Linked DNA regions of Danio rerio. The protein of the gene in region 3 interacts with the protein of the main gene of each other region in a pairwise test. Links are inferred from orthologs where the notes say so. Each region holds a gene or a part of one and is shown on either strand. Other genes may lie near its edges.

Region 1 (3,665 bases), on a different chromosome or scaffold from region 3:
AATTTCTAATCTTACAGATGAGATGTAAGTGCATATATTCAATTCAAATCAGTTTTATTTCCAGATAAAAACGAGACCTGAAACTGATGAGAGAATATCAGAATCCATGTGTTTTTTTTCCGTAAATGTTAGTGGGTCATATAAGATCTGTGCCACATGAAAGATACAAATTGCAATTGGTTTACTTGAACTGTAATGTTATAATGATGCTATAGATGTTCAGCATTCTTTGATTTTTCAGCTTTGAGCTTTTGACCTATGAACAAAAACATAATTAGATCATAATTATGTCACTTTACCTCATTATCCAAAACATACGAGCGCATTAAAAGGACAGTTCACCCAAAAATGAAAATTCCTACTCATCCTCAACTTGGTCTAAACCAGTTTGAGTTGCATTCATTTATTGTACACAAAAGAAGGTATTTTGAAAAATGTTGGAAACCAGTAACCATTGACTTCTATAATATATATTTTTTTCTACTGAATGTCAATGGCTACCAGTTACCAACATTCTTAAGAAAATCTTATTTTTAGTTCAACAGGAAAAAAAATCATAAACCACTTGGATCTGATTAAATATTGAGTACATTTCTATTTTAGGTGAACAATCTCTTTAAAGATATGGTGAAATAATGCTTCATCTTATTATGGAAGTTACAGATTAAAAGTCACTCCGGAAGCAATGAGATTATCACTATGGAGTGATAAACACTGAATAATCAGTGCTTCTGTACATCAATGTTTTATCTTGTACAGGTGCCCAAAGATAAGAGAGTACCTATCAGCAAAGTGGTTGAAATGTCAGACGAACCGGAAAAGAGGTCGGTGATAAATATGTTTAATAAATGCTTTTGTTATTACTAAAAAAATGCACAGAATAACACTTCAATAATTTTTCAGAAGCACACCAGTGGGAAACAGCAGCCAAATGGAGCCGGAGACGGTGGATAATCATGTCCAAGTCCTGAAATCAGTGCCTGTTAATCTGTCACTCAACACGGATCACCAGGACAATAAACGGGAACAGTACAGCGTGCCGGCTGGAGAGAGCGGGACGGCTGCTGTGGTAAAAGCTGAAGCGCACACTGCTGTCTTTATGACTTCAGGGGGACACTACAGGACAGAAGGGGAGGAGCAGATGCGGGTCATCTGTGAACAGACCCACTCATTCGACACCTCCACCATAAATCACAGTGCATATGGAAAAGATGACCATCGCAGTAGTCCAGAAAGCACATATGAAGATGACAGCAATGAAGTGAGAACGAATTCATATCTGAAGTCTATAAAAGTTTGCCATAAAATGTATTTATTTATTTGTTTATTTATTTTTGCAGAAGTACCGCTCGTCTTCGATTGGACCTGATGACTTCATTTTTGACCAGTCACATATGTTGTAAGTGTTATAACTAGTGTATTATATAAAATAATATTCTTTTATTATTATAATGATTTATCTCTCACACACCTAAAAAAAACATGCTCTAATGTTGTTCAACAGAGACACATTTCAATACACACTAGAGGCCAGCAAGTCATTGCGGCAAAAGCAGGGCGAGGGGCCTATGACTTATCTGAACAAGGGCCAGTTCTATGCTATTACACTAAGTGAGACAAGTGCTAATAAACGCCTTCGACATCCCATCAGCAAAGTGAGGGTGAGTGGCTACATACTACTTCTATTTATTTATTTAAGCAACCTGACATGGTAAGTTTTGTTTGTGAGTTTTAATTAACTTTCATATCATTATATTAAGTATACTAATTTATTAAAAGCTCTAAATCGCGTCAAGTTTAATTCAAAATGACCTTTATTGTCATTACGGTACATGTGTGGGCATAAAGTGGAAGGAAATGTTGTGTCTTGCTGGACCACGGTTTTGCATAAATAAACACAATAGTAAATATAAACACAACACTGGATGTAAGCTGTAACTAACATTCTGGAGCGGTAATTATTTTTTACTTTTTTCTTTTTTTTATTAAATGAATACTTCAGTTTACAAGGATAAAATATATTATTTAAAAATAAATGTGTAAATGAGATTAATAATGTTACAAAAGAGTTCTATATGAATTAAATGGAGTTCTTTTGAAATGCATATTTATTAAACAATCCTGAGCAAAATTGGCAAGTTTCTAAAATGCTTTAGCACGTATTATTTTTAGCTGTGATAACTAATGATGACTGTTGTTGAAAATGTAGGTTTGCCTTTAAATATTTTTTTCTATTTTAAAAAATATATATTTTTCTATTTTATAGGAAAATCTAAGGGAAATGAACTTATAAAAACAATTCACAATGTTACTTAATTATATCAAACCCAGTCATGGTTGTTGAGTATGTGCAGGGTTCCCACGGGTCATGGAATTTTTGGAATATCATGGCATTTTAATAGGATTATTTCAGACACTGAAAGTCAAGGAATTTTCTTTTTTATCTTTGTCATGTAATCTATGGTTTTAAAGGGCACCTATGATGAAAATCATCTTTTGTAAGCTGTTTGGGCAGAACTAGGTATAGTGTGTCCAAAGTCATATTGGGGTGATCTAAATACAATAAGTCTCTTTTTTTAAATTTTCTGACGTTAAATTAGGATCCAAATCCCTCCTGTTTTTAGGCCCACCGCATAGGACATAGGAGTGCAGTTTTCCCGCCCACCAATTTGATTGACAGCCACATATTTACATATCTCCATAGTAACGAGTATAATCATATCAACAAGACAGGACGTGTGCAAAACAACTGGGATTAAAAGATCTTTTGAGCTCTCTGTGCTCGTTAATCATCATCAAATGTAATTAAGAATGAGTTTTACAAGTTTAAAACAGTGATTGTTTGTAATAAAGTAAGTTAAAGACGGTAAAATTACTATAATTCATCACCACAGCCGCATGTTAGTACAATTATAAAAGACAACGCTTCAATCCTGGTTTGTGGACGTTAAATCAGGTTTATTTTTGTACATCAACATAACAAATATTCATATTGCAGTGGATATTAACGTGTATCCTGTCACATTTGTTGTGCAATAACAGTGCAAAGTTAAACTCGCTCGCTGTGTGTGTCTGCTATGTGTGTGTGTCTGTATGTGTGTGCGTGAACTTTGTAATGACTTTGTGTGTGACTCATCGTTGCAGAAAGGCTTGAATTAACTCCACAACAAATACATCAAATAATCATTGGGAAAGTTCTTACTGTAGTATTTCTCACAAACATTACAAGAGATCTGCTTCCTTCTTGTCTGTCACTGTGCTTTTTATCTAACGGAGCCAGAGATTGAAAACGCACAAGTTTTGCTACAGTTATGCCATCCGTCCACACTACGCTGGAGTTTTCGAGTGCCAAAAACCGAGCATTTTGGAAACGCTGGAGAGGCCGCTTTCATTCTAAAACGCTGCTGCTCCGTCTCAGTGTGGATGAGGGAAAACGGAGACATCTGAAAACGGCGGGGCTGCCAAGATTCGCTAGCTGATTGGGGCTTTTGTCTCATTGCGTAACCTTCCCTTATTCGTCAAGCCCCTATCACATGACTATAACACATGGCTTCAACTCTACCGGAAGACAACAGACCAGCCTTCACTGTAAACAACAACATGGACACAGAAATGGGAGCACTGTTTGCACTATTGTCTGTTTTAGGCGCCATTGTGCAGTTAAA
Region 2 (3,650 bases), on a different chromosome or scaffold from region 3:
TATTCTTAGAGTATGTAAGAGATCCCATTGCCGATAATAAGGGCAGTTTTTTATTTTTTTATTTTTTTAATCCCTAAATATAAATATTATGTCAAAACAATTTTGGATGTGATTAATTGCAATTAATTTTGCCCAGAACTACTTTCAATAAAATTTTACTTTTCTGTAACAACACTGATTTTACAATGTACAATAAAAGAGGGGGAAAAACATTTAAATGATTGTGGTGCTAAAGCCTGAAAATAATCTGAATAACCCTATTCCAGGAATAAGTCTTTCGCTTGTGTGGAGGTTGTGCGTAAGAAAGACGAAAGGAGAAAACTGAAAGGCCACTATTGTAAAGAGTGTGAAGTTGTGAGTCAGTTTGTACACTTTGACCAAACACACGTCTCCTTCTTTTAAATAATCTCAGCACTGATCATTTTAATATTTTTATTAAAACTATGCTGTTGTTGATTCAGTATTATGCAGATCTCCCAGAGGAAGAGAGAGAGAAAAAACTGACTTCCTGTTCACGGCATCGCTACCGCTACATTCCTCCTTCCACACCAGAAAACTTCTGGGAGGTGGGATTTCCATCCACACAGACCTGCGTGGAAAGAGGTACTAAATTTCGTCAGGTTGACAAAGGGAGAAAAAAAGAGGCAAAATGATAAAATATCAATTTTTAAGCTCATTATTTAGTTGGGCTGGATTAGAATAGCATTACATTCATGAAGTTTGAGATTTATTTATGTATTTTTTAATATATTATAATATAATTTTTATATATATATTATATAATTTAATATAATATGAATATAATAATAATGATTTTTCAGTTCATGTATAGAAAACATCCAAAATGCACTTAAAGATGTGACATTAGATTTCAATTATAATCTATATATAATTATATAATTTACATATATATATATATATATATATATATATATATATATATATATATATATATATATATATATATATATATATACATATATATATATATACATATACATATATATATATATACATATATATATATATATATACATATATATATATATATATATATATATATATATATATATATATATATATATATATATAAGCTATTTTTCTCTTCTAAACCATAAAATCTTGCAATGGTTTATTTACATTAATGCAACAAACTAGTCTTATTCATACCTATATTCTGAAGGGTTTTTACACAGGGATGTGTTCATGCATAATTTTGTATAGTTTTATACATCATTTTATTTTACAAGAAAATTGTGACTTTTTCTGACTGCTCATACTGTTTTCTAAAGAATGACAAAATATATATCGTATAACGTATAACATTTATAATATTATTGATATTTATAACATATAACATTTATAATATTATTCATATTTATAACAAATAACATTTATATTATTATTCATATTTATAACTTATAACATTTAGAATATTATTCATATTTATAACGTATAAAATGTAGAATTATTGACATTTATAACGTATAACATTTATAATATTGATATTTATAACGTATAACATTTATAATATTTATATTTATAATGTATAACATTTTTAATATTATTGATATCTATAACGTATAACATTTATAATATTGATATTTATAACGTATAACATTTATAATATTGATATTTTTAATGTATAACATTTTTAATATTATTGGTATTTATAACGTATAACATTTATAATATTGATATTTATAACGTATAACATTTATAATATTGATATTTATAACGTATAACATTTATAATATGTATATTTATAATGTATAACATTTTTAATATTATTGGTATTTATAACGTATAACATTTATAATATTGATATTTATAACGTATAACATTTATATTATTGATATTTATAACGTATAACATTTATAATATTGATATTTATAACGTATAACATTCATATTATTGATATTTATAACGTATAACATTTATAATATTGATATTTATAACGTATAACATTTATAATATTGATATTTATAACGTATAACATTTATAATATGTATATTTATAATGTATAACATTTTTAATATTATTGGTATTTATAACGTATAACATTTATAATATTGATATTTATAACGTATAACATTTATATTATTGATATTTATAACGTATAACATTTATAATATTGATATTTATAACGTATAACATTCATATTATTGATATTTATAACGTATAACATTTATAATATTGATATTTATAACGTATAACATTTATATTATTGATATTTATAACGTATAACATTTATAATATTGATATTTATAATGTATAACATTTTTAATATTATTGGTATTTATAACATATAACATTTATATTAATATTCATATTTATAACGTATAACATTTATAATATTATTCATATTTATAACGTATAACATTTATAATATTATTCATATTTATAACGTATAACATTTATAATATTATTCATATTTATAATTTATAATGAATGAATGAAAAATGCACACCTAATGTGAAATGGCCGCTTTACATCATGACCACCTCAGATGTGCATTGTTTTTTTTTTTAACCAATACATCAATGGCCATTCTTCTGTTATTCCTTATTTGTGTATATCGTAGTCGGAGATTTGCTGTATATGAATGCATTGAAACATTTAAGTAATGTTCATCGCTTTATTTCTCCCCACAGGATACATCAAAGAGGATGAGCAGCCGGACGTGCGAATTCGCAGGAGACGACCGTACCTTGCCATGTTTTCACCCAAAGCCAAATCACAAAAAAAGAAGCACTGAGTCGAGCTGTTCACACACTTAAAAACCACTCTGACACCTCATGGATCGATATGAAGCACAGTCTGCTTATGCCCCGAGTCACATCTGCTTAAAACAATCTATGTGCGTTTGTGTTTAAGTAATTCATTTTCAGATTTTAAGAAATCACCTTGATTTTGTAATGGGAATTCAGAAATAAGTAAAGAGTTTTTAGTTTTGTACATGTGATTTTGACTAAGAATTGAATAATTCTGTAATAAAAATTAAAAGTGATTTCATTCATCTTCCTTCGATTTAATCCCTTTGTTCATCAGGGGTCGCCACAGTGAAATGAACCGCCAACTATTCCTAAACTATGTTTTACACAGCAGATGCCCTTCCAGCTGTAACCCAGCTTTGGGAAACACTCTTACACACATTTTTATTAGTTATTTATATTTTCTCCTGTTTTTCTATTTACTCTTGTTTAGTTTGTTATTTTTATACTAAAGTTAACTTTTTATTGATTTCAAATAGCAAAAGTGGGTTTCATCTTTTTTTAAATCCCATTTTGGCAACTTATGGGCCTAAAAACACAGTGCATCACATAACATTGAAAAAGTGACTCAACACCGTTATGCAAAAATACAATAAATGCAAGTGTCTAATGTTTCAAATAATTTTTTGAATATTGGTAAAATTCATTGTAACATTTACGTAAACATACTAACTGTGATCTGTATTATAAAAGCAGATGTAATAAGTGATTATGCCACATTTTAATTAAAAAAAAAAAAAAAAAAAAAACTTTACTAACAAATGGATAAAAGTTATTGGTTTGAAAGATAGTGGCAAGGTATAAAGATTTAAATGTTTTGATCTGGTGCCGATGCAATCTGAGCTGCATGCAAGGCTTTTTAATAGGCTCACCTAA
Region 3 (3,665 bases):
TTATAATTTGTCTGCTTGCCACTACCAATATTATCGTAAATAAGTTTATTTTATAAACTTATAGATATTTTAAGAACAAGAAAAACCGAGCACCCACTTAAATACAAAGTAAAGGAATAACCTGCAATGCACTGCCTCAGATGAAGACAGTCTTACGTTTGACAAAGCACATCTCTCCAGCGTTTGTATAAAAAAAACTAATAATATAATAACAATAATAAGTAAATAAATAAAAAAAAAACTCCATTTAAGCTTGATTAGGTGTCAAATGTTAAATCGCGTAATCACACTTGCAAAGTTATATATATATATATATATAATAAATATATTGCTGCAATATATTTTCTGGAAGAATTGTGTAGTGAATAATGCCATCTCAACATACAGTTTTTTCTTTATAGATTTGTTTTGTTTGTTTGTTTGTTTGTTTAACTGAAGATACTCCCACAATGTAAAAAAATACCTGGTTGCCTTAATTGTTTTACATTCATTAACCTTATGAGATTTTACCTTTAAGCTCCATTTAACTTCGATTTAAGCGAACTGTTATCACACAAGAAAATTTTTTTGCCCATATGTGAAGCCAAGCTAACAAGTAGTAGATTTAAAGTTTTCCATCCAGCAGTGATATGTTGATATGTGAAGTGATAAGAACAATTAGATGACCGACTATGGCTCTTACTTTCTGGTCAGGCAGTAGAGGGTTAGTCTGCAATGAACTCAAATGGCCATTGATGAGTGCTGTGGGTCTGTCGTGTTCACAAAACAAGCTGCCGTTGATGTAGTGAAACCTGTCACCAGGGACAAGCCGGTTCCGGCAGGTAGAACATGTGAAACACTGCAGGAAACAAAACAAAAGAACTACATTACACACAATCCTTAGCACATTACTTCCTACACATAACCTGCAGAACATTTTCTTGAAAGGTGAAGCTATTATTCCTTTTTGTTTTTTATTATTTTGCAATTATTTTTGTGGAGGGACACAGAAAACATTGATTAAAATGTACATAAAAGGCATTTGATTTGATATCAATTATAAGCTTATGAAAAACTATTCAACAGAACACCTTCAAACAATCAGAAAACTCTGTGGAGTGTGAAAGGATTTTGTAATGCAATTGAGCATTTAATTTTAGAGCAGCAGTGGTCACTTCTAGATAAAAGGTTACCTTGAGATGGTACACGTTTCCCTGTGCCCTCATAACCAGTTCACTGGCTGGGATGGACTGACCACACGCACTGCATGCCCCACTGTTCCCAAATAACCTGGGAAAAGAAATAGAAAACATGTTAGTAGTGCCAAAGCAACATATATCCAGAGCACCGAATATGTCTTAGACGAAATAGCTGAAATCTATGAAATTGTAGTATGATTTAAATGACCAGCAAAATATGGTAGATCTCAATCAATCAATATAATGTCACACCAACATATCATGAGCAATATTTACTCATTAATATGGTCCATTTATAAATTTATATAACCCATGTAAACAATTGCAGTTGTCCCCACAATTTATTTATTTGTATTTTTTTTCCAATTCAGTGACATTTTATCAATAACTAATTGGATGATGCTCTTTAAACAACCCTACTGTATTAAATAAGAACTATTGTTACACTACCATTCAAAAGTTTGAGCTAGGAATGATTTTCTTTTTTTGTTTTTAAGAATAATTTACTTTTATTGAAGTTAATGCATGGCTTCTGAAAAACATTAACAACTACAAGCACGAAGATAAATGTTTTTGTAGGGTATATATTGCATACAGACTCCCTTGTTGGTCATTAAGAACTATTGTTACACTTTTTTTTTTTTTTTTTTTTAAGAATTTAGTTTTTGGTCAGGTTAATGTGTATCTGCTGAATAACAGTACCAACTACTTGTACAAATGCAATTAAAAGCATATAAATTGCATCCAGACAGTTTTTTTTTTTGTTTTTTTTTGTCTTTTTGGAGCTTAAAAGCTATGATCACCATTTACTTTCATTGTATGGAAAAGAACAGCATTAGCATTTATCAAAATATCTCTTTTTGGCTTCTATGTTAGAAAGTCAGTCATATGGCATAATAACATCCTATTGTCGACTAAATGACAAAACCATTAATTTACTAAATGACAAAACCATTCATTTACTGATGACTGAGATTGAAAATAAAACACTGGATATGGACAGTGCAGTCATTAATATAATGAATACTTCCATGTGCATCAGCAAGGTTTATTAACCTGTTTGGCCTTGTTTTACTGTAACAATGAAATCCTTGAGCAAGTACAGGTTAAATCATTTCAATCTTGTTCCAGGGCCTCCTCCTCACCCTCTCTCAATCTCTCTCAGTCTCTCTCTCTCTCTCAGACACACACACACACAAGCAGAACAAATTACATCTTCAATATTCTGATGTAGAAAAAATAAAATCATAGTAATATCGCAAACCAAATGAAAAAATCCTGCATCCTGTCCTCCAAAAGCCTCTACCACTGGGACTAAGTATTACCTTTGGTGCTCATTTTTTGCAACCTAATAATAACCTAGAACATAAGCAATCAGGGCCTAAGAATATTTGATTGTACATCTAGGCGGAGACACAGCGCTTTTGCCATTAGGACTCAAGCGAGTGCTCAGTCACTGCCGCCTTTCCATTAGAAACCCTCGGCTACCCGGGTTGATATATAATGTGCATGGGTTAACCTTTTCAATCATGGTGTCAACACTTTAGATTTGCTTCTGCTCATCTCTTTCGTCTCTAACCTTCCCTCTCTCTCTCTCTCTCTCTCACTCAGTCTCTTGATAATGAAATGCTTGCTCCTGCTTCCTTTCTATCTGCCTTCTGAGTCCACAATTTAGATTACTTCATCTTGCCGAGCAACAAACTGAATGAAATTTCGATTTGAGCAGAAAGTAATTTACTGGGATCTGGACCCATTTGTCATCATATCTCACTGGCTGTTTGCTCTATCACTGCACTTTTCCTATGCAATCAAATAAGACCACAGCATCTGACAAGCTCCAGAGAGAGAGAGAGAGAAAGAGAGAGAGGGAGAGAGAGAGAGAGAGAGAGGGAGAGAGAGAGAGGGAGAGAGAGAGAGAGAGAGGGAGGGAAATATGAGGAAGGAAGCAAGAAAGAAAGAAAAAGACTGTTAAAAGGAAAGAGGGAGGGTAATGGGGAAAAGACACAAAAAGGATAGAGGGAAAAGGGAAGCATTGCAAGTACCTTCCGTATGTAAACAGTTACAGATTAACCTAAAAGTTCAAGGATGATTTGGTCCCTCAAAATGCTTCCAACTGGTAAACCGGTAAACGTGCATTGTGTAGACTCTGATACTACATCTGCCACACATGAGAACATGTGCGTTCCGACACTGAAACAGCTGTCACCTGCGATGTTTTGCATACACGTGTGGTGTTTATTGGGGCCGCTACACAACGAGCAAGTGAAGCTTTAAGAGTTTCTCTTCAGCGGTGGCTGTAGGGTGAAGGGGGGAGGGAAAAACAAATTTGGCTGTGGCATCGATTGGAGCAGCTCAATCAAAACTCAATTTCAAACGTAATTAGCTGTAGGCTTGTGACAACAGCGCGGCTTCAATGGCGTCGATGGGCCAGTCATGCTAGGCAAATGTCAGGGGGGAAGGTCTTTAAAAGCTGCAGTTTGATTCACC

What was found.
Region 1: the proteins of lmo4b (region 3) and grhl2b interact in binary tests that used the Homo sapiens proteins (3 or more experiments, as listed by UniProt). The two-hybrid records come from large-scale screens. The link is inferred for Danio rerio from reciprocal best matches to the Homo sapiens genes LMO4 and GRHL2.
Region 2: the proteins of lmo4b (region 3) and rbbp8 interact in binary tests that used the Homo sapiens proteins (3 or more experiments, as listed by UniProt). The link is inferred for Danio rerio from reciprocal best matches to the Homo sapiens genes LMO4 and RBBP8.

What each region holds. Positions count from the first base shown.
Region 1 is NC_133194.1:13,345,502-13,349,166, forward strand, and holds part of grhl2b (grainyhead-like transcription factor 2b), read left to right. Parts: intron 1-759; coding exon 760-824; intron 825-903; coding exon 904-1,261; intron 1,262-1,340; coding exon 1,341-1,399; intron 1,400-1,504; coding exon 1,505-1,661; intron 1,662-3,665. UniProt on the Homo sapiens protein: Transcription factor playing an important role in primary neurulation and in epithelial development. Binds directly to the consensus DNA sequence 5'-AACCGGTT-3' acting as an activator and repressor on distinct target genes.
Region 2 is NC_133199.1:39,963,210-39,966,859, forward strand, and holds the end of rbbp8 (DNA endonuclease RBBP8), read left to right. Parts: intron 1-266; coding exon 267-354; intron 355-461; coding exon 462-603; intron 604-2,654; coding exon 2,655-2,758; 3' UTR 2,759-3,019; downstream 3,020-3,650. UniProt on the Homo sapiens protein: Endonuclease that cooperates with the MRE11-RAD50-NBN (MRN) complex in DNA-end resection, the first step of double-strand break (DSB) repair through the homologous recombination (HR) pathway.
Region 3 is NC_133181.1:28,416,875-28,420,539, forward strand, and holds part of lmo4b (LIM domain transcription factor LMO4b), read right to left. Parts: intron 1,270-3,665; coding exon 1,173-1,269; intron 839-1,172; coding exon 683-838; intron 1-682. UniProt on the Homo sapiens protein: Transcription cofactor. Plays a role in establishing motor neuron identity, in concert with MNX1, acting, at least in part, to disrupt LDB1-LHX3 complexes thereby negatively modulating interneuron genes in motor neurons.